Linked DNA regions of Cricetulus griseus. The protein of the gene in region 1 purifies or fractionates together with the protein of each later gene. This does not show direct contact. Links are inferred from orthologs where the notes say so. Each region holds a gene or a part of one and is shown in the gene's direction. Other genes may lie near its edges.

Evidence for each region.
Region 2: the proteins of protein argonaute-4 (region 1) and Tnrc6a purify together in Homo sapiens (co-immunoprecipitation; 4 studies listed by BioGRID and IntAct, with this or other methods). This does not show direct contact. The link is inferred for Cricetulus griseus from reciprocal best matches to the Homo sapiens genes AGO4 and TNRC6A.
Region 3: the proteins of protein argonaute-4 (region 1) and Tnrc6b purify together in Homo sapiens (co-immunoprecipitation; 3 studies listed by BioGRID and IntAct, with this or other methods). This does not show direct contact. The link is inferred for Cricetulus griseus from reciprocal best matches to the Homo sapiens genes AGO4 and TNRC6B.

What each region holds. Positions count from the first base shown.
Region 1 is NC_048595.1:26,501,330-26,511,681, forward strand, and holds the start of protein argonaute-4, read left to right. Parts: upstream 1-4,439; 5' UTR 4,440-4,612; coding exon 4,613-4,631; intron 4,632-10,352.
Region 2 is NC_048596.1:77,593,045-77,603,396, reverse strand, and holds the start of Tnrc6a (trinucleotide repeat-containing gene 6A protein), read left to right. Parts: upstream 1-4,473; 5' UTR 4,474-4,815; coding exon 4,816-4,820; intron 4,821-5,152; coding exon 5,153-5,200; intron 5,201-10,352.
Region 3 is NC_048595.1:378,031,879-378,042,130, forward strand, and holds part of Tnrc6b (trinucleotide repeat-containing gene 6B protein), read left to right. Parts: intron 1-80; coding exon 81-425; intron 426-3,454; coding exon 3,455-5,794; intron 5,795-7,991; coding exon 7,992-8,150; intron 8,151-10,252.

The sequences.
Region 1 (10,352 bases):
GAAAGGCAGATGGATCTGAGTCCAAGACTATCCTGGGCTACCAGAGAGTGAATCACAGCTCACACTTTTAATCCCAGGATTCGAGAGCTATAAAAGGTAGAGGCATTCAGTCTCAGGGATTACTCTCTAGCTACATTGAAGAGAGCATAGCAGTCTGAGTGAATCTGAGGAGTAGTGGAGTTGGGAATAGTTTGAGGATGGCCGCTTTGGTCTGGGCATAGGTAGGGGTAGTAAGAGTTAGTGGCTGGCTGCTTTGCTTTTCTTATCTTCAGCTTGAAACTTGAGCCCCAGTATCTGTCTCTGAGTCTTTTGTTTATCATGCTACATTGCTCTTTGAGATAGCCTCGTACAGATGAGGGTGTGTGCCCAAGCTTCTTAGAGTTAGTAAGTTATAGAATGGGAATTAGATCCCAGACCCATCTGATTTAAAAAAACAAAAAACAAAAAACAAAAAACAAAAAAAAAAAACCCATCTGTACCTGGAGAATCCGGCACTTTGCCCAGAGAGTTTCATCAAGATTCTGACTCCAACACTATACCATTTCTAGCTCCCACCATTTACTCATTCCCCTTTTTACTCCCATTCGTTCATTCCATAAGCTCCACTCCTAAAGGCATTTGGTACCTGGAAGGTTGTTAAGAAACAGAGACACAGATCTGAATACCTGAATCAAGCCTCAGGCTGCTCTCAAGAATTCATAGAGCAGTGGGGAGGGAGCCCGGCTTGGAGATGAGTTGATTACATCATCAAAGGAGACCCTAGAGTGGCGGCCAGGGGTCAAGAGAACTTAATAGGAAAAAAAAAATTCAAATGTTGGCAATAGAGGCACATTCTCTACTCATTCACTTCCTGGAAGTGTGAGGTATGGTGGGTAGGGGGTGCAGGTGAGCAGTCACTGGCAGAGAGATCTGAAGGGGAAGTGGTATTGAGGCATGGCTTTTCAGCCACAGCAGGAAGCAGAGGGTAGGCTTCCTGAACTGAGGCCCAGTAGTATTTACTAACTAGGAAGGTTACTAGGAAGACGGTAAAGGGTGCCTCAGAGGGAGTGAGTCTGAGAATGAAACAGAGATCATCGAGTAGCAGGGTTGGGATATTTGAGGGGGTACAACCCTGCAGTCCTGACTGGAACTGTACATTTAATGCTCCAGTTTCTGAGTTAATGAAAACACTATTTTTTTTTTAATGCAGAGAATAAGCTATAGTCAGGGTGCCTAGAGAATGAGAGATTTTGTTAAGAGGTAGGGTTGGGAAAGCCTGCCTCAAACCAGGCCAGCATTGTTTAAATAGTTTTGTTTTGAAACAGGGTCTCATATAGCTCAGGTTAGCCTTTTACTCACTGTGCAGGTGAGGGTGAATTTGAACTTCTAATCCTCCTGCCTCCACCTCCTAAGTGCTAGGATTTCAGGCATATGCCACCCAGTCCAGTTTATGCAGTGCTGGAGATTGAACCCAGGACTTCTTCTTGCATGGTAGACAAGGCCTCTCCAAATAAGCTTCAACCCCAGCTCCTCTGACATTGCTTAAATAGTATGAGGAAATGCTGTGAGGTGGGGAAGGGAGGTCGGCTGCCAGGTTTGCTAGAGATGACTCAAACATTAAGAGTGTATGTTAGCTGGGTGATAGTGGCACACACCTTTAATCCCAGCACTCAGGGGACAGAGCAGGTGGATCTCTAAGTTCAAGACCAGCCTGGTCTACAGAGTGATTCCCAGGTTACACAGAGAAGCTCTGTCTCGAAAAAGAAAAACAAAAACGTACACTACTCTTTTGGAGGACCGAGTTCAGTTCCCAGCACTGGTGGTGTTCATCAATTAACTCTCGTGTAGTTGGAATTTTCTTTGGGCACCCAAATAAAAGACACAGAGACTTATTATTAATTATGAATACTCGTCCTTAGTGTAGGCTTGTCCCACTAGCTCTTTTAACTTAATTTAAGGTGTTTCTATTCATCTATGTTTTGCCCCCAGGGCTTTTTACCTTTCTTTCCTATGTCCTACTTTCCCTACTTCCTCCGTGTCTAGCTGGCCCCTGTTGTCTCCCTGGCATCTCTTTTTCTTTCTTTTCCTTTTCAAACCTAAACTCCTCTTCCTACTTACTCTCTCCCTCTACCTCCTCCCTTCCTATTGGCAGATCAGCTTTTTATAAGACCAACCAGGTACCTTAGGCAGGCAAGGTAAAGCAGCAATCCATTTTACATAGTTAAACAAATGCAATACATCTTTGCATAGTTAACTAAATATTCCACAACACTCTAGCTCCACAGAACCAGGGGCACTTTTCTGGTCTCCCTGTGCCCCACACTCAAACACATACACATCCCCATAATTAAAAACAAAAGTCTTTTTTAAAAAAACAATAAAACTTGAGCTTCATGCTAGGCATGGTGAAAAATGCCTATAACATCAGCACTTGAGAATTGGGGGTGGAAGGATCAGTAGTTTGAAGTCATCCTTGGTGACACAGTAAGTTCTAGGTCAGCCTGGGACCTAGAGACATTGTCTCAAAACGGCAACAACAAAATCCAACCCAAACAAAACACCTCGAGCTTCTAGCTACTTTTTTCTTTTTCTTTTAGTTGTTCACCAGTCTTTCTTATTTATTTATTTGTGTGTGTGTAGCAGCTCAGGCATCTTCCTCAGGAGTTACCCTGTTTGTTTGTGTCTCCCAAAGGCCTGGAGCTCTCCAAGTTGACTAAGTTGCTGGCCAGTGAGCTCCAGTGATGTACCTATCTTTGCTTTCCCAGTGTTGGGATTACAAGTGTGGACCATCATGCCTGGCTTCCTATGACTGCTGCTTCTTTTAACTTGGATTGAACTCTGATCATGGTTAGAAAGCAAGTACTCTGACCGACTGAACTATCTCCCTAGCTCACATTTTTTTTTGTATGTGACTATTTTCTCCTCCAATTTTCTGCCCCTACCCCATTGTTGTTATTTAAGTTAATATCTGACTTGTTTTTTGCTTTATTTTTGGAGACAATGTCTCTTAAAGCACCTGCTGGCCTTGAATTCTTTGGTAGCAAAGGCAGGCCTTGAATTCTCCCTCCTCCTGCCTCCATGCCTCAAGTGCTCAACCACTCAGGATCTGGTTTTGTTTCACAAACTATATTTAAAGCATTTATTTATTTATTTATTTATTTATTTATTTATATGGGGTGTATCCGTGGCACTCACATGGAGGTCAGAAGACAACTTTCAAAAGTCAGTTATCTCTTCCACAGTGTTGGCCTTGGGGATGGAATTCAGATTGTCAGGTTCTAAAGTGCCTTCACCCCCTGGGCCATCTTCCTCCTAAGAAGAGGTTAGGGGCTGTAGAGATAGTTTAGTGGTTAAGAGTGCTTGTTACTCTTGCAGAGGCCCCAGGTTCGATTCCTATCACAGCTTATACTATCTGTAACTCCAGTTCCAGGGGATCCGATGCCATCTTCTAGTCCCCCAACGCACAAATACACACACACCGGCACAGCACATATACACATAAAATAAAAATAAATCTAAAAATAGAAGATAAAAAGGGGAGGCCGGGTGATAACACAGGAAGACAAACATCTACAACCAAAGGAAAAAATCTCAGAAGAAACCCCGGCTACCCGTGCCTTGATCCTATCAGAATTTCAGTCTCCAGAACCGAAAGTGCATTTCCGTTGTATCAAGCTACACAGTCTGTGGTACTCAGTGGCGGTCCTTACAGACTAGATCAAGGGTGTCGTGCCTTTCACACTAGTAGACCGCTGTTGCCCTATTCAGTTGACTAGACACCCTATGGTCCCGTCTTAATTGGAAGCCCTGACTGGAAACCTTAAGGACACTGGACCTGCTGGGATACATGCTGCCTAGGAGGGGGCTGCTGAGAAGACTTGGTGACAGGCTGACCAGTCCTGGGACCCAGAACAGAACTAACTGCTTTTCCCTGCACAGGGAACGAAGGTGAGTGGACCTGTATGTGGTGTTGGGTGAAGGAATGAATGAAGGGCGGCAGGGGTGAGAGCGAAGAGGCCCTCTGTGGTGGTGCGGGCGGGGGGGGGGTGGCTGAGGCGAGACTCAGGACCAAGAGGAGGACTGTTGCCTGAGGGTCAGCGAGGACTAGAATCCCGCGGCTCTGAGGAACATCGCCGCCTGAGGAGGATCCGCCGCGCGACTGGCGGGCAGGCGGGCGAGCGGGAGCGCTCCCGACGCGTCCTCTGGGCTCGGCTCTCAGGGCGCGCGCCCGTGCCCTCCGCATCCCCGCCCCCTGCCCCCGGCCGGCTCGCTGGACCCCGCGCGTTGCGGGGCCGCGCACGCCCCCTTCGCCGGCCGGGACCCCGGGTGCGCGCACCCGGCGCCCCCTCCCCGCGCCCGCCGCCGCGGCGCCGCCGCCTCCGCCCCGCTCCCTGGCGCGCGGCGGCGGCGCGGCGGCGGATTGTTTTGTTGTTGAGGCGGAAGAGCCTGAGAGCCGGGTCCCTGTCCCCCGGCCGGGCGCCGCCGCCGCCCCCTGCCCAGCGCCCGCGTCTTCGCGGCGCCGCTTCAGCGCCAATATTCCGGAGAGCAAGCGTTACGCGGCGGCGGCGGCGGCGGCGGCGGGGCCCGGAGCGGGAGGCGCCGGGGACCGGAGCGAGGCGGCCCCGTCGCCGCCATGGAGGCGCTGGGACCCGGTGAGGAGCGCGCTCAGGCCGGGGCCGGACCCAGACCCGGACCCGGGACTCGGGAGGGCGGACGGACCGGCGGAAGGGACTGTCGCTGTCCCGCCGCCGCTCGCGCGGACCCGGATGCGGGTTGCCAGGCCCCGGGAAGGAAGGGGCCCCGCGCCCTGGTCCCCGGGGGGCGGGGACCGCGCCCCAGCTGAAGACTCTGGGTCTCTTCTAGACCCCCCTCGAGGAGATCTAAGGGAGGGAGGCTCAGGAGGTGGCCCGAGTCCCCTGAGGTAGGGCCGACCCGACCCGACCCGACCTCAGGAGAGCTCTGTCCACGGTCGCCGCCGCCGTGAGGCTAGCTGGGGCCTCAGAAGGGACCTGTGTCTGGTGCTCTCGGAGGCCTGGCCCAAACCTGGAAGGCCTCTACCTTCTACCAAGGCTGTTCTTGGTTCTTGGGGTGGGGCCGGATTCCCCCCACCTTTTTTTTTTTTTTTTTTTTTTTTTACACTGGTGTCTGGTCCTCAGATGAAGAAGAGAGACCCCATTCACCCCCAACCCCGGAAAGCCAAAGGCCCTGAAGTTTGGTATCTGTCAGTTTGTCAGTCTCAGAGTGTTGTGGGCTAGACCTTGAACGAACGACAGGGGAATTGCCAGCCAGAACTCCCCAACACAGGCATCAATGTCCTCCATTCTCTTTTCTTTGGGTTATGAGTGGTTGTGAGGATCAAACGAGAAAATGTTTTTAAAGCTGTGATTCGTTGCCGGTATGGATGGTTATCTCCCTTTCTGCCCCAACCCAAGGAAGTATTCCAGACTAGCAGGAACGCTATGCAGTTGGAGCCCAGTGCTCCTGTCTCAAGCCCCAAAAGGTTGCTACGGACTTGGCTAAGTAGGGCAAGGTTTAGGGGCAGTGATGGAATTAATTTTCATATTCAAACTTTGTCCATATAGTGGACTTAGTTGTATGCTTTTTAAGCACATAGAAAATTAGGGTTTTTTATTTGAATTTGGAAACATTGCAGGTTTGTCTGCTTGGAACATGTTTACATAACTGAGTAACTAAACTCTATCTTCATTTGCTGTTTAAAGCTTAAAAAAAATTAAAGGCCCGCATATTCAAATTTCATAGGCCTTTTGAAAATGAGTCGATTAGCTGGGCATGGTGGCTTATAATCCTAACGGTTGGGTGGTGGAGGCAGGAAGATCAGGAGTTCAAGGCTAGCCTCAGTTACAAAGTGAGTTTGAGGTCAGCCTGGGCTACTTGAGACCGACTGTAAACAAACAGATTTGAACCTGCTGTGATGTTGCATACTTCTTATCTCAGCATTTGGGAGGCCGAGGAAAAAAAGAGCCAGAGTTGGAAGGCAGCTTTGGCTAACTAGACTCTGTCCAAAAGAAAATGCCACATTGGTTGGTTATATTTATATAGCTGATAAACCCCAACATGTTATGCTAAGTTACTTCAAATCTGTTCTGCTAGATAAAAACATGCTCATGGCTTTAGTACTATATAAAAATTCCATTCAAATCTAATATAGTAATTTCATACTTGTATTGTCCCCATTGCCCCACAATTTAATTCCATTGAACCTCAATTTCCTCTTCTATAAAACAAGACTAGTGTGTGCTCTAAGACTGATGTGAGAATGAAATGAGATGTTTGGGGGAAGTCTTCTAGTCAAGACTAGTACAGATGTTCAACAAATGTTTCTTCTCTTCCTCCCCATGAGTAACTTACAATAGAAGCAACTGTTGCAGTTATTAGCTGACATAGAGACTATGTAACTATGTGTGCAAGTTCAGTGTGGTGAAAAGAATCTACATGGTGATGTAAGGAACTGCCGAGGAAACCAGCTACCCACCTCTTTGGTTTGATTTTAGTTTTTGCTGGTCTGAGGACTTGGAAGTTTTCTTAGAACTGCTCAGTTTGTAGAGAACAAATGTTCGTTAATCCTACTTAAAAGATGCCAATGATTAAGCCAAAATTTTATATAGATCCTTTCTGCTGAGTAATATTTTCCTGTGTTCTGTATAGCAGATTCTTGTTTTGGCGTTTGACTACCTTGGAAACCTAGTTAACAACAAGTAATAACAATTGCTTGTTGAACATGGACTCGGAAGAGAAGGATCAGATGAGTCTTTTGGGATGTTGCTTCCAGGCTGTTCTAGAACTTAAGAAGTACTTTTACTTACATTACAGCATGCCTAGGTTTAGTGTGTTGAATCTGTTTTTGGTTTTGGTTTTTTTTTTTTTTTTTGAGGGGGGGTTTCGAGATAGGGTTTCTCTGTATAACAGCTCTGGCTGTTCTAGAACTCACTCTGTAGACCAGGCTGACCTTGAACTCACAGAGATCCTCCTGCCTCTGCCTCCCAAGTGCTGGGATTAAAGGTGTGTGTCACCACCACCACCACCACCACCCCCAGCTGTGTGTTTGGGTCTTCTTCACTTGAACAATCCCTGAAGGCCTCTTAGTCCTGTTTACCTTTCTGTCACTACCCAGGCTCATCTTCTGTCAGTAACTTAGAAAATTAAATGACCTTTATCATTCATTTTGGTTATAGTGATTATAACCTTAATTTTTGCATGTTTTTTTTTTATAGTTGCTTGCTTGTTTATTTGCTTGTTTTGCTGTGCTTGGGATGGAGCTCAGGGCCCTGTAAATGATAGACAACTGCCCTACCACTGAACTTCAGTCCCCCAGACCTTTGAGGTGCTTTATAGTTTATAAAATACTTTTATATGGGCTGGGTTAAGGGTACTTGGTGCTCTTCCAGAGGACCAGGGTTTGATTCCCAGCACCCACATGGTGGCTTGAAATTGTAACTCCAGTTCCAGGAAACCCGACACCCTCTTCTAGCCTTTGTGGGCAGTGCATGTATGTAGTACACAGACATACATTCAGGAAAAACAAACACATAAAAATAATTTTAAAAAAGAAAATAATAATTATGAGTTCATTTGAACCAGACCAGGTGGCTTATAATTGTAATCCCAGCACTTGGAAGGCTGAATCTGGGAGATTACTATGATTCCAAAGCCTACGCTACTGAATAAGTCCCTATCAAAACAAAAATAACAACAAAAAGAAATCCCTCACAATTCAGACAAACAAACAAACAAACAAACAAAGCCTATTAGCTCATTTGATCCTTTGGGAAGTAAACAAGGCAGGAATCTATACTCATTTTACAGATGAAAAAAATGAGGTTCAAAGTGAGTTCAAATGACTTACTTCCTCGAGACTCAGAGCTCCTTGGGGAAATGAGGACTAGAGTGTGGGGTGTGTCATTCCTACTTTAACACCTCTTTCTTTAAGGATGATCTCATCCATACCAAGTTAAATCTTGAATGTTTTGTTTTCAGAAAATGTAATTTTTTTGGACTGTCAAAAGTTGTAGGGATGCCACCAATTTAAAACCAGAATATCTGTGCATCAACTATAACTTTTATTCAGGTGTCATTATACTAGCTAACACTTATTGGTTACATAACTGTTACAAAGCACTGTGTTAAGCCTTTTACATCATCTCCTGGAATCCTCACTATAGTATTGGGAGATAGATGGTATTACCACAAACCCATGTTTTATAGAAAAGGAAGCTGAGATAGAGAGTTAGGGAGTGGTAAAACCAGAACCAAACCCAAACACAGGTGTTTTGGTTCCTGATGCTTTGCCACCATGCTTTATTGTTTTACTAAATAGTTTACCCAACTCAAAGAAATTAGCTTTTGGAATGAAATTTTTAGAGTATAATTTCTAAATGAATCTAAGCTTGTTAAAAGAAGTGGTCATTCATGTAGTGATATATTATGTATGATTTATAAAAGCTTGACTGAGGACTCAGAAAAGCAAAGTCAGCCTCAAGCTATGATGATCAGGTAGTGGCAATAGACACATTTAATTCCAGCAGCCAGAAGCTAGAAGGTAGTGGTGCACACCTTTAATCCTAGGACTCATGAATAAGAGGTAGACAGATCTCTGTAAATCCAAGGCCGCCCACGTCTACACAAAGTGAGTCAGTCTAAAAGAGAATTATAGCTCACACCTTTAATCCCAATATTAGGGAAGTATCTAAGACCGAAGCAAGGTCTCAGTATGAGGCATTCATTGTCCAGCCGCACTGAGGAGAGGCAGCAGATTGAGACTTGGTGAAGGGTTGTGCATGGATCAACCCTTTCAGCCTGAGCTAGTGCTAAGAGCTGGTAGTTGGCTGCTTTGCTTCCCTGATCTTTAGGTTGAACCCCAATACCAGTCTTGGGGTCTTTTATTATTTGTGTTACACACTTACCTAAACTTTTATTTTGTCCAAAAAAAAAGTGACACAGGGCCAAAGAGATGGCTTAGTGGTGAAGAGCACTGACTACTCTTCCAGAGGATCTGGGTTCAATCTCCAGCACCCACATGAGGCTAACAGTTGTCTCTAACTCTATTTCCAAGGGGACCTGATGCCCCATGCTGGCAAAACACCCATACATACAAGATAAAAATAAATTTCAAAAAAAAGAAAAGGGGACATAAAATATTTTATTCTACTTTTTTTTTTTTCCTTTTCTTGATGCTAAGAATCGGGCCAGGGGCTCATCTTCTACCTGTAGGGGCATCCTGTACCAATGAGTTTAATCCCAATCTTCTATTGAATCTCTTTTGTTTCAGTCTCTCTGCCTATCCCTTTACCATTAAGTACTTTAGAGAAATATAGATAACCAAAAACCTGTGAAATCTGGGGAAGAAATGAGAGGCCTTGATTCAATCATTATTAAAAATCAGATTCATAGGCTACACATTTGATCAAAGTTTCTGATTCCAAATTTCTCTTATAAAAACAGATTTCTAGCTGAGTGTTGGTGGCTCACGCCTTTAATCCCAGCACTTGGGAGGCAGAGGCAGGCGGACCTCTGTGAGTTCCAGGCCAGCCTGGACTACAGAGCGAGTGCCAGGATAGGCTCCAAAGCTACACAGAGAAACCCTGTCTCAAAAAACAAAACAAAACAAAACAAACAAAAAAACAAGACAAAACAAAAAACCCAAACAAACAACCCCCCCAAAACAAACAAAAACCCCAGATTCCTTCTGATTTTATGCTATGATGATTCTTTAAGTGTATTTTTTGCAAGGCTGATTTGTCTATATGATTTAATTGGGTTGATTGGTAATTGCCTTATCACACCCAGAATAGACCTATGTGCATCACAATAATACTTGTCATATGTTATGTATTGAAAAGTAGCTGTCACATTTTGCACATTAATGTTTAGGTTTCTGTTTTGCTTTTACCCGGAACTAATGATGCTCTTCCATGCTTACTGAATTCATACAGCTCGCTGGGTGATGAGTTAGGTGTTGTGGGAACCATAAATGGGAATTCTAGTTCTAAGAATTTATGAGTCTACTATAGAAGACAGGATAATTTAACTTACTCCTCTTAAAATTATGGGTGTGTGTGTGTGTGTGTGTGTGTGTGTGATGTGCTAGCACACGCATAAGTCAGTTCATCACACTTTTCACCATGAGATCTTAGGGATCAACTCAAGTTGGGCAGTAAAATGCCTTTACCTCCTGTGCCATCTTGCTAGTCCACAAGTGATTTCTTATACTTGAGCTAAGTCCTACCCTGCATACAGGGTCTTGTGTATAGAGGGGATGGATCTTTCTTAGAAAGTTGCATCTGAGCTACATCTTGAAGTTTTGAATTTAGGAGGAAAATGAACAATAAATTGAATAATATGAAGAGATTTTTTAG
Region 2 (10,352 bases), on another chromosome or scaffold:
ATTCAGATGAAATTGCCCCACAAATGTCCACCAATGCAGGGCATTTGGTGGTGGTGCACACCTTTAATCCTATCATTCAGGAGTCAGAGGCAGGTGGTTCTCTGTGAGTTTGAGGCCAGCCTAGTCTACAGAGTGAGTTCCAGTACAGCCAGGAGCTGCACAGTGAAACCCCCTGTCTCAAAAAACCAAAAGAAAAAAAAGTCCACTGAATAATAATAGCCCCCCAACTAAAAAATGATAACTGATCAATAGGAAGATGGACAAGAAGCTGTGGTATATCTATTCAATGGAATAGTACCCACAAAAAGAAACAAATTTGGTAATTCAACAATATAAATGAATCTTAGATTTGTTCAGCTAGAGAAGCCAGAGAGAAAAGGGTATATACTATGTGGTTCCATTTATTTGCTCTTTTAGAACGAGTGTGCTGACTTCCAGTGATATAAACTGGAGACGTAGTTTTAGGGGACTGGTATAGGGGAGAGGATTGTGGAAAGTGACTGAGAGGAGGCATAAGGGGATATTCTTGAGTGATAGAACTCATTTATATTGATTGTGGTTGTGGTTACATGAATTTATTTGTCATAATGCATAAGGTTTTTCACTTTAAATGGGTGGATCATGTTTAGTGTAAAGTATAGCATCGTAAGGAAAAAGAAGAAAGAAAGGGGTTGAGAAAGGAACCCTGGAATTTTCAGGGTGTGCTAGGGAGTGTCAGTGAGAAAAGAGAGGAAGAAAAAACTAAGAAGATATTTTCAAAATAAAATGTCCTGCAGTTGTGTTGAAAGACGGAGGTGGTGGTGGGGGGTCATGGTGGTGGTTATGTTAAAACTAATTTTTAGTTGGAACATCTTAGGTACTGATCCTCTTGTTATTGGTCCGTCACTTGGCCCCATTACAAGAGGCTTACCCTGTTTTCCCCTCCCATCTTGATGATTTCATCATTGGAGTATCAGGCTTCCTCAGAGTGCACTCCTTGGCTTTTTTATGATATCGTAGCAATGTTTGCTAATGAAGTGTATAACTGGGGTCCACATCTTCAGCTTCAGTGAGCTACATATAGAAAATATTTATGACAACATTGCATCAGTGCTGGGTGCCCACAGACTTTTGGTCATTATTTACTTAGTAATACAGTTTAGTAACTGTGGACATTTACTTTTTTACTGGGTATTATAAATACTTCAAAGGTGATTTAAAGTTCATAAGGAATCCAGGCATGGTGGAACATGCCTTGAATCTCAGCTCCCAGGAAGCAGAGGCAGGAGGATCTTGGTGAGTTGGAGGCTAGCCTTGTCTACATAGTGAGACCCTAAAAAGCAAAATCAAACTATTTAAGCGAATTTATTTTTTGTTTGCTCAGAAGTTGTCTATTCTAGAGCAATGGTGTGTGCAGTGTAATTTCAGTTTTAGAGGTGTAATTGACTAGACCCTGCTATGTTAGTCTTTGTGTGGGACATAGTTCCTACATGGAGTCTTCGGAGCATTTGCACACAGAGTGACATTTCATTTCCTTTCAGTTACTCTGTTTCTCTTTTACAACATTGTATGTATACATATATGTATATATTTAAATGATTATATTTAGTAGACTGATTATATACAGTAGATTAAATTACCTATGATCAGCATTTTATAAAGCATTTATCATCAGATAGGATGCAAGGTCTAATATAGTTGAGGTCTGCAATATAGTGGTTAAGAGGGGGCTTTGGAGCCAAACTTAATATATATAATATATATATATAATTTATATATATAAAATCTTAATCATCCATTACTTACATGATTTTGGGAAAGTTTATCATGCCTGTTGGCCAAGGGGGTGTAATACTCCTACTTCATTAGGCTGTACGAAGACAACAATTAGTGACTAATTAGTATTTGTAAAGTACTTAGAACAGTTTGGGATAGCATACATTAAGTACTGAAGAAATTATAATGAAGTGATATAAATATACTCTTACCAGGAAAGTTTATCCATGTTCATGCATCCAAGTTCTTTCTATTTATTACTGTGGAGCCTTTCTAAATTTAAAAACATTATTGGGGATCTAGCTCAGTGGTATTATTGCTACTTAGTGTATATTTTTGCTATGTTCAGCATTGCAAAAAGTAATTTATGTGTATAAATGTTTTGTCTGTGAAGAAGGCCAGAAGAGGATATTGGGTATCCTGGAACTGTAACTACAGACAGTTGTGAACCACCATGTGGGTGCTGGGAGCTGAACTTGGGAAGAGCACCAAGTGCTCTTAACTATTGATCTGTTTCTGCAGCCCCCATTGTGGTTTTTGATAAAGAGGTAAAATTAATCCTTATCTGCCAAATAAATAATTTGTGAGTTATTAGTCTAGTCAATTAGCCTTCTCAGTAAGGCAAGGAAGAGAAATTGGAGAAAATTCATGTTGAAGCAACCACAGGAACTGAACAGAAACTAAAGCAAATATATACAGGAAAGGCCCTGTCTTAGTTTGCTTTCTATTACTGTGATGAACACCGTAATGACAAGCAACTTGGGGAGGAGAGGGTTTATTTCAGCTTACAGTTTATAGTCCACCATATAGGGAAGTCAGAACAGGAACTCAAGGCAGGAACATGGAGGCAGGAACTGAAGCAGAGACATAGAAGAGTACTGCTTACTGGCTTGCTCCCATGGCTTGTAACCTACACTCCCCGCTCCCTCCACACAGGGTTTCTCTGAATAATAGCCCTGGCTGTCCAGGAACTCACTTTGTAGATCAGGCTGGCCTCGAACTCAGAGTTCTTCCTGCCTCTGCCTCCCAAGTGCTGGGGTTAAAGGTGTGTTACAACCCCCCAACCCTGCCCCAGCTTATATTTTTATATAACCTGGGATAGCCTGCCCAGGGGTGGTACCACCAGCAGTGAGCTGAGCCCCTCCATATCAATCATTAATCAAGAAAATGCCTATAGGAAATGCCTACAGAAAATTAAAAAAAAAAAAAGGAAAAAAAGAAAGAAAATGCCTACAGACCTGCCTACAGGCAATTTGATGGGGGCATTTTCTCTGTTGGTGCTCCTCTTCCCAGAAGACTCTAGCTTGTATCAGTTTAACAAAGGAACTAACCAGGATAAGACCTACTTAAATTTGAAGCTGGGGATATATAGTAGAATACTAACATTCAGGACACAGAGACAGGCAGATCTCTGTGAGTTTGAGGCCAGTGTGGCCTACATAGAGAGTTCTAGGTAGCCAGGCTACATCTCCAAATAATAATAATAATAATAATAATATAATATGTAAAAATTACTTCACTTTATATTTTGTAAATTTTTTTCAAAAATGTTCATAGGCTCATAAAATTAAAAATGCTAAAAGAAGAAAATTGTATACCAGTAATTAACATTTTGACATTTTGGTTCATATTTTAATTCCTTCCTGGGCATTCACTTATTCATAGCTTATTATAATACACACTTCTCTCAGAGCAGAATTAGTCACATAGCTTATATCACGAGAGAGACTGGAGCAGTTCTACGCTAGTAGAGGGACTTAGGATAGAAAAGAGCAAAAGGAAGTAATCTGCAGAGTGAGTTTTCTGAGAAAGTAAAAGGGAACATTAAGTAAAGGAGAAATTTGCAGACTATGTGAAGCTCTGTATATATATGTGCATTATAATTATGTCCTTAGTGTATTATAATGCTTCATCTACCTGCAGGTATGTATCTTATTGTATTTACATTCAGGTATGTGTCTACACTATAATTTTTTTTTACAATTATTATGATTGCATCTTCTTGTGTTATATTGCTGCATCTTATTGTATCTATATGTAGATTTATATACTTTACAGGTATTTATCTTACAGTACCCGCAATTGGATGTTCACGTATTTTTCTGAGAACTAGTCTGGTATCTGCCTTTTCATTCTTTTATTGTAACGAAGTCCCTAGGCCGGTATTTCCCACTCCATCTTTTCATGCTCTTGCCAGTGGCTGCTTTTAATGCCATCTCATATCGTTGGACTTTGCAGTCGGTTACAATTTTCAACCTTTCCCAGTGCCTTGAGTTATTAATCTTGATGATGAAATACTTAAAAAATGATACCCAAAATGATTATTTCTTGAGCAGAAATTGAGTGAAAGTGGAATTGCTGAGTCAAGGGTGTGTAAAATTTTGAGGCATAAAATCGTACTGAAACCGCACAGCCGGCCTCAGGTATGCATTCTTCACCTGAGGAGGCCAGGCACAAGCAGAGAGGTTAAATAATCTGGCTCAAGGTCAAAAGTAATTAGATGTGGGTGAATTTAAAAACGGCGCGGGCTCCTCCGGCAGCGGCAAGGGTGGAATTTGCGGTTTGGTGGATTTTTTTTTTTTTCAAGGCGTGTTTCTGTGAGGGAGGGGCCGGGCAGAGGGGAAGGAAACTTGTGTCGCAGTAAAGGAGGAGGAGGGGGGGACCGGAGTCAAACCCAGGCCCGCCTAGGCGACAAAGGTCTGCGCTCGCCAGGCCCGGAAGACGCTCGCGGGGAGCCTCGGAGTTCCCCGACAGCTCCGGCGAGGTCCCGGCCGTGCCGGGCGGTTGCCAAGCGTCGGCCCTGTCCAGCAGGCCTAGTTGCTAGGGCCTCCATCTTGGGGGCCCCAGGGCTACCGCGCCCCCGGAAGGGGTTGCGAGTGGGGCATTCACTTCCGGTCTGGGGCCTGCGGCAGCAGCGGTGGCGGCGGCGGCGGCGGCAGCGGGTCGGTGTAGAAAATGGCGCTGGTGCAGCGGCTCGGGCCTGTCCCCGCGGCGCTGCGGAGGGCCTGAGGCTCGCGAGCCTCGTTCCCCGCGCCCCACGCGCTCGTGCACTTTACACACATGAGGTGAGCGGACCGGAGGGGAGTCTCGCTCGGGGCCGGGAGGCAGCCGGAGGCGCTGCCGCAGGACCCGTCGGGCTGCGGGGCGGCGGCACGGGGCAGCCCCCGGGAGCGCGGGCCTGGGTGGGAGGCCACGGGAGGCCCGGGAAGCTTCGGCCCCGCGCGGGCTGCGGCTCTGGGCTCGACCGTCCTGGGCTCGGAGGCCCGCAGCGCTGCAGCCCGCAGCCCCGCCCCTCCCCCACCGCGCGGGCGCTCTGCCGCAGAAGCTCGGTTTTCACGCGCATCCCCTCCCCCCGTTTTTTTTTTTTGTTTGTTTTTGTTTTTGTTTCCTATTTCAGAGAATTGGAAGCTAAAGCTACCAAAGACGTAGAGAGAAATCTTAGCAGGTAAGATGGGCGAGCCTTCAGTCTCCCGCCCCCTTTATAATCGTGTGTTTCCACTCTGCTTCGCCCTTCCTGGGTTTACAGACCTCTTCCCCCCCACCTCCCCCCACCCCATCCCGTGTCATTTGCTTTCGCACGCAGGGAACAGACATTCGGTAGAAACGGCCTCAGGGAATATTTGCATGGGGGGGGGGCATTGCAGGGGAGACGCGTAATTACGAGTGTGTTCGTTCTTAAAAAGAAAAGCAAAAGGCAGTTCTTGTAAACTTAGTTAAAGCATTCTCACCCTTTTAGAATTTAATTAGGGGACTTGTGCATTAATTACTATTGTAAATGGTTGCAGGCATTGTGTGACTCATGATTGAGGCGGCCCTTATGGCGGGCTGTCAAACTGTTTTGGCTTCCCCGTTATTACTTTGTAGCTAAATTGTTGCCTTTATAAAAAGATACTATGTGCTCGCATTTTTTGCTCTCTGTCTCTGCACATTGTAGTCAGGCGGATTCTGTTGCATTGGAAACAGTTTTGTCCTTGAACTTCATCAAGCATAAACTGCGTTTTGTTGTCCTTTGAAACATTTTAGTCTGTGTTCGGTGTGTGTTCTTTTTATCAGCTGGGAAAGTAATTAAAAATTGTTTTCAGTAAGTGATGATCACTTCTGTTGGGCCTGAGTGCTTTTGCACTGGTACCTGAAGCCTCAAATACTATCTCCAAGACAAGGGTTGTTTCTTGTCCCCCACCCCGAAGTGATGCATTTCTGGAAAACGTTTAGTTTTATTGAGCTGTAATTGCTTCAACATCAGGGAATCGCACGATACTTAAAGCCTTTTTCAGATCCATTTTAAAACAGGCTTTTTCTTTTCTATTCACTTTTTTTGCATCATTTTTGAACTCACAGAAACTTCGAGATTAAACAGCTTCATTTGTTTTAGGTCTTAATCTGGCTTATGCTTGTTTATTGGAAGTTCTAGGCTTATGTTGTGGTTATTAACACACTTGTAATTGCACAAATACTTTTTACCATGTAGAATTGTTCCAAATTTCTAGCTCTTTGAATTTATGTTAATCTGTTGGGGTGACTGTTAAAGAATCTGTTCTGTTGGCAAAGGAACAGTATTGGCTTATCCAGTGAGAGGTTTTTTGGAACTCTAAATAATTATGGAATCATTTAAAGGGACATTAAAGCTGCTATCGGTGACTAAATAACTGTCAGCTGGATGCTTAAACAAGTTATGTTGTCAAAAACTGGGAAAGAAATAAGATACAGAGCCAAACAAAATAGATTGAATTATTAAGGTGTGATTTTAATAACAGTGTAGGTTTTGGATCTTTTTCTCCTTCTGGTTTTGTTTTGTCAGGCATCCACATAGGTCTTGTGTCCATGAGGGTACCTAAAACTTAGGTGAATATTGAAATACAAGCATAATTTTCACTTCGTTATGATTGGGCAGAACTTGGAATCTCTGCTATTGGCCTGTTGGCCTTGTATCAGAATTTGAATTCCAGCCCTGCCATTTAAAATGACCTTGACTCTTGGCAAGTCATTTGGCCTTTCTGTGTCTAATCTATGAAATGAGAGGCTTGGTCCATCCAGTTACTAAGGTCTGTTAGGCCCCTTGGGTTACATAAAAAGGAATCCAGTGCTGTCAGTGTCCAAAGAGGGCATGTACAATCTGGTAGGGAAACTATATAATATGTACATAAATAATGGTAATTCAGGGTAGTTGGTGTAGGAGTCAAAAGGGGATGGCATTCCACTCATGTGCTTGAGGCACTTCAGTTGATTATAGATATGAAAAAGAAAAATAATGTGATTTTAAAACAGAGTGTCAGTAAGAAGGGACCAGTTAAGGTACTTTGAGTAGGGAGACAGGTGATTAGATTAGATGGGCACATGCTCCTTTTTTTCCCCAAGAAAAAAAAGTATCAGTCTTTGCCCATTAGTACCCTGCTCAGGAAGTCATGGCAGGTAGTATTCACCCTAGTAAACTCTGAGCATTTTCTAGGAACCAGTGAGGGGAATGTACCAACTGTTCATCATCTGCCTGCTGTACCCATCCAAAGACTTTGCATGCCTCTTCACCCTTGAGAGGTTGGGTAAATTAGGTGTTCTTAGCTGTACATATAAGAGTTTGAGGTAGAAAGAGGTTAAGTAACTACAGGAGGTCTTACCACTAGTCACTGCAAGAATCATCAGCCTTCATGCTGAAGGTAAGGCGCTTCCCTCTGAAAAATTGGGATTTTTTTTTTAAAAGTAGAACCCATAACTGCATGCAATATGTTTATCTTGGAATTTCTCACTATGGACCCTTCTTATATTTTGTACCAGCTAATTAATTATTTGAGGACTGTCCTTTGTAGTGTAAGATGTCCAGCATCTACCAGGAGTACTCCCTACTCTGTAATGATCAGAGTGTCTTCAGATTCTGACAAAGATCCATAGAAATGGAAGGTGGGGATGGGGGGGTGGGCATCAATGTTTGGAGATCTTGGTTCAGGTTTTGAACATGAAAAGTCCCAAGTATATAAATGGTGCATTCATATAAGCATCTTTTTTGTATGATGGAAGCTCAGTAAACCTAGTATGTGTGTCTCCAGGGTGGAAGCTCTGTTCCGTGTGTGTGTCAGGGTTATGTTGTCATTCTGCTTTCCTGGGATAAGTGGCAAATCCTAACCAAGACATGCCAGGTGTTCAGTGGCAGTTAAGCAAAAAATGGCACAAGGAATAAATTTAGATCATTAGGTTAGCTAGTTTTTAAAATTCATTTTTGGTTTTGAGAATTGTCTTACTCTGTCAGTACCATGTGCATTCAAAAGAGGGAGCTGTAATGTCTAGACAAGGGTGACTACTACTAGAGTGGGATTTAGGAATCAAATCCATTTTGGCCTGCAGAGAGGATATTAGAACAGTAGATGTGAAGACTCGGAATCCAGTAAGCACACAGGAATTTGGTCTAGTAGAAATAGCAACCAGCTAATCAAACTGTCTTAAGGCATGTGATGTGGAGGGCTTTGAATGTCAGGCTGAGGACTTCTACATAATCTTTAGATGGTCTAAGGGGCCACTGCCTACCTTCTGATAGGATACCAATGTTATAGGAAACTCTTCCAGCCGGGGAATTGTGATCAGGTATGATTATGGGCAGTAGTTCTCTAGGTAAGAGTTGATGAAGATCTGCATGTAAGTTGTGGTAGAGAGAGATGAGAGGATGAGATACCAAGGAAGTGGAACCTGGGATTTCAAAGTAGGTTAGTTGTGAGGGGAATTCTCCATTTAGGGTAAATGAGAGATTGATCCAGCCTCCAAGTGAAATAGAAATTTATGTGAGGAGAAACAATGGTAAGTTATAATCACCAGTTTAGAGGGGAAACAAATCCTCCATTAATTAATACAACTCAGTTGATGCAAGACAATTTAAAAAGTTTTTTGTTGTTGTTTTTGGTTTTTTTTGGGGTGTGTGTGTGTGTGTGTGTGTATGGGTGTTTTGCTTGCATGGATGTCTGCACACATTGATCCCTGGTACCCATGGAAACCAGAAGAGGTAATCGGATCCCCTGAAAATGATGTTAGAAATGGTTGTGAGCTGCTGTGTGGGTGCTGGGAATCAAACCTGGGTCCTCTAGAAAAGTAGCCGGTACTCTTAAATACTGAGCTATCTATTCTTCCAGTCCCCAACAGTTGTAATTTTGAAAGTATATTTGGAGGCTACAGTTACAGAGTTAGTGAATATTCAGAGCTGGATCTTAAGGTATCAGCTGGTATCTGTTACTTTTCAAGTGAGAAAATTCTGATTGAGAGACAGTCTCCAATGACAGAGCTGGGCTTCTAACAGGCCTTCTCACTCCATTCTAGTATTTTCACTGAACATTAGATAAAATATACATTTCTGCTTTTTGGACAGAAAAAACCTCAAAACATTTATCTCAGTGTATCTCATGCCCATTCTAGTGGTTTCTGTAATTTATGTGTATTGTGTAAGTAGAAGTTAACATAATTTGTGAATGTGATCCCTGCTTCCAAACCAACCATGAACAGCCATTGTATAGCAAATATTAAAGGTGCCATAAACCACATAGCGTCTGACCTGGGACACTTTCAGTTGAACCATGAATATCTGGAACAGATGCTATGTCACAGAGCCCAAGACAACACGACTAAGCCAGGGTATACCTCTCTCTAGAGGTTATCTATTGTTGCCACTGATTTTTCCATTGTTTAGGTGAAAAATCATTCTGGTTTAGTTAGGCTTTTCTGTTGCTTGCTCTGATGTGGATGGTAGGCTAGGCCTCTTTCTAGCTTAATTTGGAGATTACGTGGTAAACTAGTTGCTGGAATAAATGAATACAGATGGTGGGCTTAGCTTAAAACTGAAAATTTGCACATGAACATCATAAAAAGAATAGTTTATAATGTCTTTTGAATTTTGGTATGTCAAATATGTCTGAAAGTATAATTTGAAAGGCATAAAGTCTTTTACAATTTCATTTTATGACAACCCCAAAGTATTGCCCATGATTGGAAATAGTAAAATGGCATGTGTTACATGCATTTCATTCAGGCTGGACTAATCTTCTCCAAATGGAATAAAGTCCACCTAGTTTTCATTAAAGAAGTCATTTGAGGACTAGAGAGATGACTAGGCAATTAAGAGCTCTTGTTGCTCTCCCAGAAGATCCAAATTCCATTCAAGTTCAGTTCTTAGAACCTGAGTTGGCTTACTCACAATCACTTGTAACTCCAGCTCTGGGGGATCTGCTAGCCTCTTCTAGATTCCATAGATAATTGCACATACACACATAATTAAAAATAAAGTTAATCTTAGCAAAAAGTCATTTGTAACCTTAAGCAAAGTACCAAAACTAGGGTAGCAGATACTTCCACTTTTCATAATTATTTTGTCATTACACTCTATCCCCAAAATACAGCATTATGTCTTATACATTAAAGAGGATCTTGTACATAACAGTCAAATGATCAAACATAGAATGTTTAACTTTATACTATAGTTTGGTTCATATTCACTTATTTTCAATTGTCATGGAGGATTTTTCTTTCCACCAATTTTTAAAATTATTTTATTTAAATAACATTTGTTGTTGTTAATTTTACATACTGACCACAGTTTCCGCCTCCCTCTTCTCCCGATCTCCTATTTT
Region 3 (10,252 bases), about 350 Mb from region 1:
GTCTCATGTGAGCTTTCTTAAAAACAGACTTTAGAAAAATATACTTAATTTCAAAGACTTTCCTAACTCCTGTCTTTCAGTGCCCGAAGTGACGAAACCAAGTTTAAGCCAACCAACGGCCGCCAGCCCAATTGGCAGCTCTCCATCGCCACCAGTCAATGGTGGCAACAATGCCAAAAGGGTGGCAGTGCCGAACGGACAACCGCCAAGCGCCGCCCGCTACATGCCTCGGGAGGTGCCACCGCGATTCCGTTGCCAGCAGGACCACAAAGTGTTACTAAAACGTGGGCAGCCCCCTCCGCCGTCCTGCATGCTCCTCGGGGGTGGGGCAGGGCCTCCTCCCTGCACAGCACCTGGAGCAAACCCAAACAGCAACGCACAAGTGACAGGAACGCTGCTGCAGAACGAAAGTGGGACTGCACCAGGTAAGACTCTAGGGGCCAGCTTCAAAGGGAGAGAGAACATTTTCCTTGTTTATTTCCTGACAGCAATTCCACTAAAATCATTGCTAATATAGAGAGTACTGTGCAGAAGATGGGAGAGGATCCCAGCATAAAGTATGCACAAGCAGTTCTCTGAAGCTGTGTTATGGTGTCTTGACATGAAACGCTAATAATAGCATCCTTTACCTCCTAGGTTCTGTGGTTCATCAGCTGTGTTCAGGAAGTGAGACTTACATAGGGATTTTTCTAAATCTTCTAGAATCTTAAGTTTCCAGAATGATCACATAGTTGTATAGAATCTGGAGAGAACACCAGATAATACCATTCAGTAGTTTTTTAACTGGGTTTTTTTCTTCTTCTTCTTCTTCTTTTAAATCAGTGTTTAGTTTTATAGCCCTGGATTTTTATTTATTTATTTGTTGGTTTGTTTGTTTGGTTTGGTTTTTTGAGACAGGGTTTCTCTGTAGCTTTAGAGCCTTGTCCTGGAATTCACTCTGTAGAGCAGGCTGACCTTGAACTCACAGAGATCCGCCTGCCTCTACCTCCCAAGTGCTGGGAGGCGTGTGCCACCACTGCCCAGCAGAACCCTGGATTTTGAGCTTTGTTAAGGCACTGTAATATAAACATGAGAGTTCTTTCTGTCTTTTGAAACAGGATCTCTTGATATAGCCCAGGTTGGTGTCAGACTCACAATCCTCCTGTCTCAGCTTCATGAAAGTGTGTGCCACCAAGAGTTTTTAATGAGTTACATAAATAAATAGCAAAGAGTTTCCATTCCCTTTAAAAAAATTAATGTGCCTTTTTATATTATATTAAATTTTAAATCTTGAACTAGACAGAGAGAGCTCAGCAGGTAAAGTGGTTGCCACCAAGCTCAGTGGCCTGAGTTCCATCTTCAGGCTCCATCCATGTAGTAGAAAGAACTGATTTCCAAAAGTTGGCTTCTCACCTCCATATGTGTGTCATAGCACACATACAAATAAATAAATAAAGATAATTCTACAAATACATTTTGAAGAAAAAAATAGACTTTGAATATCATTAAGCATCCAGTCTCAAGGTGTTAAGACTCTGTGCTTTCTCATATGTATATATTGACAGGGTTTCTCTAGCACTGGCTGTCCTGAAATTTGCTTTGTAGACCAACCCAGTCTCAAACTCAGAGATCCACCTGCTTCTGCCTCCTGAGTCCTGGGATCAAAGACATGTACCACCACCACCCGGCTAATTAATATATATATTAAGATTTTATTTGCTATGTAACATTGTTCTACGTGCATATTTGCCTACAGATCAGAAGAGAGCACCAGATCTCATTATGGATGGTTGTGAGTTACTATATGGTTGCTGGGAATTGAACTCATGAATTCCGGAAAAGTAGCCCGTGCTCTTAACCTCTGAGCCATCTCTCCAGCCCCCTATTTTATGTAATGTTATTTTTAACTCATATTAACTGAAAACTGCTTGGTTAATGGAGAAATTAGTTTAGAAAAAAAATCACTAAAAACATTATTAGCCCACCACCACCACCACTAAGAATGGTACATTCTACTGAAATATGTACTGAACCGTACTGATTTATCAGATTAATCTCTTTAGGAGTTTGTACCAATATGATCCATACTCCTGTATTTTGGCAGCTAACTCGGGGACAGTCATTCAGCAGAGGCTTATAGAGCAGAATGCACAGGCAGGCCATTGTGTGGAATTCACATGTTAGCAAGATAGGCTCTAATGAAAAGATCAGTGTGAGAAAGGAAGGATGTGAACAGAGGGTTACCATACTGAGGAGAATGGATCTTGTTGGAGAAAAATGATTTTTCAGGTGACAAGCCCAGAAGTGGATCCATAGATGAAGTGACACTTGAAATATGTCCATAAAGATGAATAAATCTCATTGGATTTGGGAGGAAAAAACAGTAGATCCAAGCCTAGAGTGGTGCCAAGGGTCAAAAGGTGTGTTTATGGACTGTAGGCATCTTTGTGGAAAATTGTATAGGATGCACCGGGAAGACTGGTTGGCATTAGAACATCTTGGTAAAGCCAACCTAGGGGTTTTGCTTTTCTGTGTATTAAGGAATTCTTGAAAACTCTCAGAACAATGATAGAACCAAAAGGGTATTTTAGGAAAACCACTCTAGCCACAAGTGTTAGACTAGCTTGAAGAAATGTAGCACGTTTAAAGTCTATTGCATTTTCTCAGGATACAAGAAGGTCCTTCTGTGTCAGCAGGAGTGGCAAGTAGGTAACTTTGAAAGCTGGTCTGGAGCCAGGCAGTGATGGCACAAGTCTTTAATCCCAGCACTCGGGAGGCAGTAGCTCCTACCTCTGTAAATTCCAGGCCAGCCTAGTCTACAGAGCTAGTTTCAGAACAGTTAGGGCTGTTACACAAAGAAACCCTGTCCCGAAAAACAAAAAAGAAAGAAAGCTGGTATGGACTTAGTACATACAACAGTAGCCAATGACAAAGGAAACTCCAGCATGTTCTCATAACTCAGCATATAATGACCCGATGACCTGAGTTCAGTCCCTAGGACCCCCATGGTATAAGGAGAAAACCAACCCCAGCTAATTGTCCTCTGATCTCCAAATTGGTACCATGGCATGCTCACATATTATGCCCACTCGAACACACACATACATACATACACACACACACACACAGAGAGAGAGAGAGAGAGAGAGAGAGAGAGAGAGAGAGAGAGAAGTGACCCTAGGCACTGAGTTAAAATCCCACAGGAAGCCGGGCGTTGGTGGTGCACGCCTTTAATCCCAGCACTCGGGAGGCAGAGGCAGGTGGATCTCTGTGAGTTCGAGACCAGCCTGGTCTACAAGAGCTAGTTTCAGGACAGCCTCCAAAGCCACAGAGAAACCCTGTCTCTAAAAAAAAAAAAAAAAAAAAAAAATTCCCACAGGAAGATGGACCAGGTAGATCCGCTGGGGCAGTCAGAACTCCAGGTATAGATGACAATGTATGTGCAGCTATGGCTAACAGATGATCTCTTTTCCAGAGTCAACCCTTGGAGGTGCTGCTGCTTCAAATTATGCAAATTCCACTTGGGGCCCGGGAGCCTCCTCCAACAACGGCGCCTCCCCCAACCCAATTCACATCTGGGACAAGGTGATTGTAGACGGGTCTGACATGGAAGAGTGGCCTTGCATTGCCAGCAAAGACACTGAATCTTCTTCCGAAAACACCACCGATAACAACAGTGCCTCGAACCCTGGCTCTGAGAAGAGCACTCTGCCAGGAAGCACCACTAGCAACAAAGGAAAAGGGAGCCAGTGCCAGTCTGCAAATTCCGGGAACGAATGTAATCTTGGGGTCTGGAAGTCTGACCCTAAGGCTAAATCTGTTCAATCTTCCAACTCTACTTCAGACAGCAGCAGTGGACTAGGAAATTGGAGGAATGTGAGTGGTCAAGATAGAATTGGACCTGGCTCTGGCTTCAGCAACTTTAACCCAAATAGCAACCCATCTGCCTGGCCAGCATTGGTCCAAGAAGGAACTTCTAGGAAAGGGGTGTTGGAAACAGAGAATAGTAATTCCGGTGCACAAGTAAGCACAGTAGGTCAGGCATCCAGGGAACAGCAGTCAAAAATGGAAAATGCGGGTGTTAATTTTGTTGTCTCTGGCAGAGAACAGGCTCAAATTCATAACACTGATGGACCAAAAAATGGAAACACTAACTCCTTGAACTTAAGTTCACCAAACCCCATGGAAAATAAGGGAATACCCTTTGGGATGGGCTTGGGGAACACCTCCAGGAGCACTGATGCCCCTTCACAAAGCACTGGAGATCGAAAGACTGGGAGTGTTGGGTCTTGGGGTGCAGCTCGGGGGCCTTCTGGAACTGACACAGTCTCTGGACAAAGCAATTCTGGAAATAATGGGAACAATGGAAAAGACAGAGAAGACTCCTGGAAAGGAGCTCCTGTTCCAAAATCAACTGGGTCAAAAAATGACTCTTGGGACAACAATAACAGGTCTACGGGTGGGTCCTGGAACTTTGGCCCTCAGGATTCTAATGACAACAAATGGGGTGAAGGGAACAAAATGACATCTGGGGTCTCTCAGGGAGAATGGAAACAGCCGACTGGGTCTGATGAGTTGAAAATTGGAGAATGGAGTGGTCCAAACCAACCAAATTCTAGCACTGGAGCATGGGACAATCAAAAGGGCCACCCCCTCCCTGAAAACCAAGGCAATGCCCAGGCTCCCTGTTGGGGAAGGTCTTCCAGCTCCGCAGGAAGTGAAGTTGGAGGTCAAAGCACTGGAAGCAACCACAAAGCAGGAAGTAGTGACAGTCATAATTCTGGCCGTCGGTCATACAGGCCCACACATCCTGATTGCCAGGCTGTCTTGCAGACTCTTTTGAGCCGAACTGATTTGGACCCCAGGGTGCTCTCAAACACTGGCTGGGGCCAAACTCAAATTAAGCAGGACACAGTGTGGGATATTGAAGAGGTGCCAAGGCCTGAGGGGAAATCTGACAAAGGAACTGAGGGGTGGGAGAGCGCTGCCACACAGACCAAGAACTCAGGGGGCTGGGGAGATGCACCTAGCCAAAGCAATCAAATGAAGTCTGGATGGGGGGAGCTCTCAGCCTCGACAGAGTGGAAGGACCCCAAGAGCACAGGAGGCTGGAATGACTATAAGAACAACAACTCTTCTAACTGGGGAGGACGAGCAGATGAAAAGACACCTTCCTCTTGGAATGAGAGTTCCTGCAAGGATCAGGGGTGGGGAGGTGGGCGCCAGCCCAACCAAGGATGGACTTCTGGGAAGAATGGTTGGGGTGAGGAGGTTGAGCAAGTAAAAAATAACAATTGGGAAAGTTCTGCAAATAAGCCTGTGTCTGGGTGGGGTGAAGGAGGGCAGAATGAAATTGGAACTTGGGGTAATGGTGGGAATGCAAACCTAGCTTCAAAAGGTGGGTGGGAAGATTGCAAAAGATCTCCTGCATGGAATGAGACAGGCAGACAGCCCAATTCCTGGAATAAACAACACCAACAGCAGCAACAGCCACCACCACCACCACAGCCCGAGGCTTCTGGTTCATGGGGAGGCCCACCCCCTCCACCTCCAGGCAATGTTCGACCTTCTAATTCCAACTGGAGCAGTGGGCCCCAGCCTACAACCCCTAAGGATGATGAACCCAGTGGTTGGGAGGAGCCATCCCCACAGTCAATTAGTAGAAAAATGGACATCGATGATGGCACTTCAGCTTGGGGAGACCCTAACAGTTATAACTACAAGAATGTGAATCTATGGGATAAAAATTCCCAAGGGGGCCCACCGCCTCGAGAACCAAACCTGCCTACCCCAATGGCCGGAAAATCAGCATCAGGTAGGCACCCACCCACTCTTTTTTCATAGGCTTTAGTAAAAGAAATCCTGGGCTGGAGAGATGGCTCAGAGGTTAAGAGCACTGACTGTTCTTCCAGAGGTCCTGAGTTCAATTCCCAGCAACTATATGGTGGCTCACAACCATCCGTTATGAGATCTGGTGGCCTCTTCTCGCATACGTGTAGGCAGAACATTGTATGCAGAACATTTACTTACTATGTAGTAAGTAAAAATAAATCTTTAAAAAGAAAGAAAAGAAATCCTATCTGAGGATAGTTCCTCCAGTTCTAGCTTTGTTGCTCTGATAACCTCTTTCCATAGAGCACTAGAGATGGCATCTGCTCTAGTACATTACAGTGGTCATTCTTGTTACAAGGAAAAGATGACAATACTCTTGGTCCCTAGAGTAATTATTATTATTAATGGTTTGTCCAAGACAGGGTTTCTCTGTGTAGCTTGGCTGATTTGGAACTAACTCTATAGACCAAGCTGGCAGATCTCCCTGCATCTGCCTCCCAAGTGCTGAAATTAAAGTCTTGCACCTGGCTAGGTTCCCAGAATTATTTTTTTGCAATTGTATTGGTCTGTATAATTTTAAAAAAGCAACCACCATACAGCTTATTCTTGCCAAACAAACTACTACTAGTTTAAGAACTAAAGAAGAAAGAGATCTACTTTCTTTCCCTCCTGGCTCTACCTGTGAACCCACCCTCTGTGCTTTTCCCCCAGCAAAGGAGAACACTCTGGTGTTTTTTCAGAAGCCATCACAATGCTGTATCACAGCTGGTGTCTGGACAGTTGGACAGTTGGGGGGTCTCCAAATTTATTGATGCTCTCTGTGTTTTGGTGCTCAAACACAGAGACTTGTGTATGCTGAGTAAGCATTCTGTATTCCCAGTTCCATCCAGTGACTGAATGGTTGGCTGTAGAAAGGAATATACTTAAAAGATGATCTTAGGACAGTCAGATATTAAACTGTTCCAACAGCTCTTAATTCTATTCTCAGGTTGGCTCGAATGTCCCTGTAAAAACTCACCAATCGGGGCTGGAGAGATGGCTCAGAGGTTAAGAGCACTGGCTGCTCTTCCAAAGGACCTGAGTTCAATTCCCAGCAACCACATGGTGGCTCACAACCATCTATGACAAGATCTGGTGCCCTCTTCTGGTGTGCAGACATACATGCAGACAGAACACTGTATATATAATAAATAAATAAAGATCTATTTAAAAAAAAAAAAAAACTCACCAATTTAGAAAATGCACCTTTCAGGGTTGTTTTATGGTTTTAGTTAAAATTAATCATAATGTGAAGTTTCCCAGTATTCAAAGTGAATCTAGTTTTTAAGTAAATGTAATTAGGAACACTAATTATCATGCAAAGTGACTGTTTTTAACTAGCTCCTTTAAAAAAAAAAAACTAAAAAAAAAATGAGGACAGAAATAGAGACTACTCTTTAACTTCTTATCTAGAATCACACTTGCTAATGCTTTGAAATAAAACTCTTCAAACTGCACAGAAAAGCGAAATACAATAAATGAGAGAATCTTAGCCTCTTGGGTTTCTCACCATAATCTCTTAGAATTTGTTTCATTCATAAATCTTGCTCTTATCTATTACAAATATACCTAAGCTTTATTTATTTATTTATTTTTATGGGGGGGTTATATTTCTTTAGTGTTCATCTTGCTTTTTTTTTGTGGACTTTTTGGGGTAAAGACAGGAATTCTGAGACTGGATCCCAGGACCTTTCCCTGGGTAGGCAGGCAGTATCCCTTATTTATGTCCTATGTTTAAGCTTTTTGTAGCACACAATAGTTCTTTCTCTTAATTGTTTCATATATAATGTTCATTTTATGGGCCCAATATTTATCCCTCTGGTAGATACTTAAGTTGCACTTTACCCACACTTGATGTAACCTATCTTCTAATATTTAAAATGCTTCAATTTTTGTACATATAATTTCATCACTTTACTACATATATCTAAAGTAAAATTTCCTGGCAGTGGAATTTCAGAAGTCATGTACATTAGACCTTTGAAAAGTCACCTTGCCAGATGCCCTCCATGAAGGTTGAATTTGTTTCTGCCAAGATAGTATAATTGTGTCTTTCCCCTTTAATTCCACTGGATGTTAAATGTTCAATGGATCCTTAGAGACATGCTTTTCTTTCTTTCTTTCTTTCTTTTTTTTCCCAGTCTGGAGCAAAAGCACACCACCTGCTCCAGATAATGGAACTTCAGCCTGGGGTGAGCCAAATGAAAGCAGTCCTGGGTGGGGTGAAATGGATGATTCTGGAGCATCGACCACAGGCTGGGGAAACACACCTGCCAGCGCTCCCAATGCCATGAAACCCAGTAAGTGGATTTGGTTTATAATTTGAGGAATTCCTTGTTAATTAGAAAATAAGGTGTTTTGGTGAGGGCTGTTTTATTTAAAGTGTTAAGTCAATGCAATTCATAACCTGAAACATCAAACAGCAGCAAATGGTACTGAATATTGCTGGCATGTGTTCAGGTGTTTACCGTGACCTAAGTTATTTATATTGCTGATTTAAAAACAAATGAATGGCCAAGCACTAGGAATGCTGAAGCCCACAGGTTGGTTTCTGTGAGTTCAAGGCCAGCCTGGTGTATGTAGTGAAATCCAAAACAGCCAGGGCTCATGGTGAGACCCTGTCTGAAAAAACAAAATAAAATAGAATATAACAAAATAAAAACAAATGCAGGCTCCTCAAGCACTTGTCCTCACATGTTACTGAGTTTGTTCCCTAAACCCACATTGTAGAAGAGACCAACTTGAGTAAGTTGTTCTTTGACAACATCCTTGCACATGACCCACAAACAATAAATGAAAGGAAAAAGAAACAAACTAGATTTAGTATCTATCCAGAACTGTAATTTGAATATTGTGCATTTTTACCCAAAAATGTAAATGTGTTCATTGAAACTACTTTATTTCTCCTTTTTTTTTTTTCATATAATTAAGACATGATTTCTCAGTCATCTACTCACATAAGATTTTAGGTGTGTTGGGGGTTGTTTGGTTGGTTGGTTTTTGCTTTTTTTGGTTTTGTGGGATTTTTTGTTTGTTTGTTTTTGTCTGACAAAGATGTCTTTGAAGTTCTTAAATGAAGAATAAGCTACATTTGATGTAACTGGCCATTTGTAGTCGCTAATGCACAAACTATTACTTGATTGAATTGAGAATATAGTATCAGGCGCACATTTCTACTTCACTAACTTTCTTGAACATGTTACATCTCTCTTTCCTGCTTAAGCAGACTTAAGATTTAAGAGTTTTTGGTTAGGCCAGACGGTGGTGGCACACACCTTTAACCCCAGAACTTGGGAGCAGTGGCAGGCTTATCTCTGTGAGTTTGAGACCAGCCTGGTCTACAAAGTGAGTTCCAGGACAGCCAGGACTGTTACACAGAGAGACCAAATTAATTAATTAATTATTTTATGGAATTCTCAAAACTTTAGATAAGAAAAAGAATTACTTGTATCCCATGATATTCAGGACTTTGTGAGGAATATGTTAGATTTAATCCAGAATTCACAACCATGCCTATGGGGCTTTGTTATATTTTAAAAGTCTTCATCCACTCCTCCACTTCATAGACTTCTGGAGTTTTCTGAACACCTTGTTCTCATGATTTCCATGGTGAAGTCAGTTGTTTATCCTGGGAAATAGGATCTAGTTGACTTGAAATAGATCCAGATTGCTAAAGAGGCCTCACACAGATTGTTCAGCAGGACTGTAGAATTTTCACCCGTCTTTCTCAGCTTCAGAGTCACCTTTCCACCACAAATCCATCATTTCCCTCCTGTGCTTTGTAAATGTGTTTTGTTAGTCAAGGTCATTTGTAGTTGTAGCTTGTGTCCTTTCTCTGGGTGATTTGAATGTCTAATGCTAAGAGGAAGGAATAAATCATTTAGCTGATAACTGGCAATGTGATCTTCCACAGCCAAAAATGCCTTACATTTGATATTAAGTCCTGTGATTAAAATCAGATGCTCAGTCAGACATGTAGTGGCTCATATCTCTAATCCCAGAACTGAGCAGAAGTCGGCCTTGTCTACAGAGTGAGTTCCGGGACAGCCAGGGATACACAGAGAAACCCTCAACAAAACCAAATGCTTTTCTGTTGAGTATTCAGGGCCCAGTGCTAGGCAAATGCATAGCCCTGAGCTTGTAGCCTCAGACCCACTCTTGAGAAAGGAGGCAGGAGGGAGGAATGTGAAGAAAGAGAGGAGGTTAGTTGGAAGTCAGAGGACATTTTTTTGGAGTTGATTCTCCTTTTTTTTTTTTTTTTTTTAAACAACAGATTCCAGGGAAGCACCTTTAACTACAAGGCTGTCTTACTGCCCCCCCACCTTAAATTTTTGGTTTTTGGGTCAAGGTCTCGATATGTAGTTCAGCCTGGCCTGGAACTCAGAGCTCCCAGGTGTTGGGA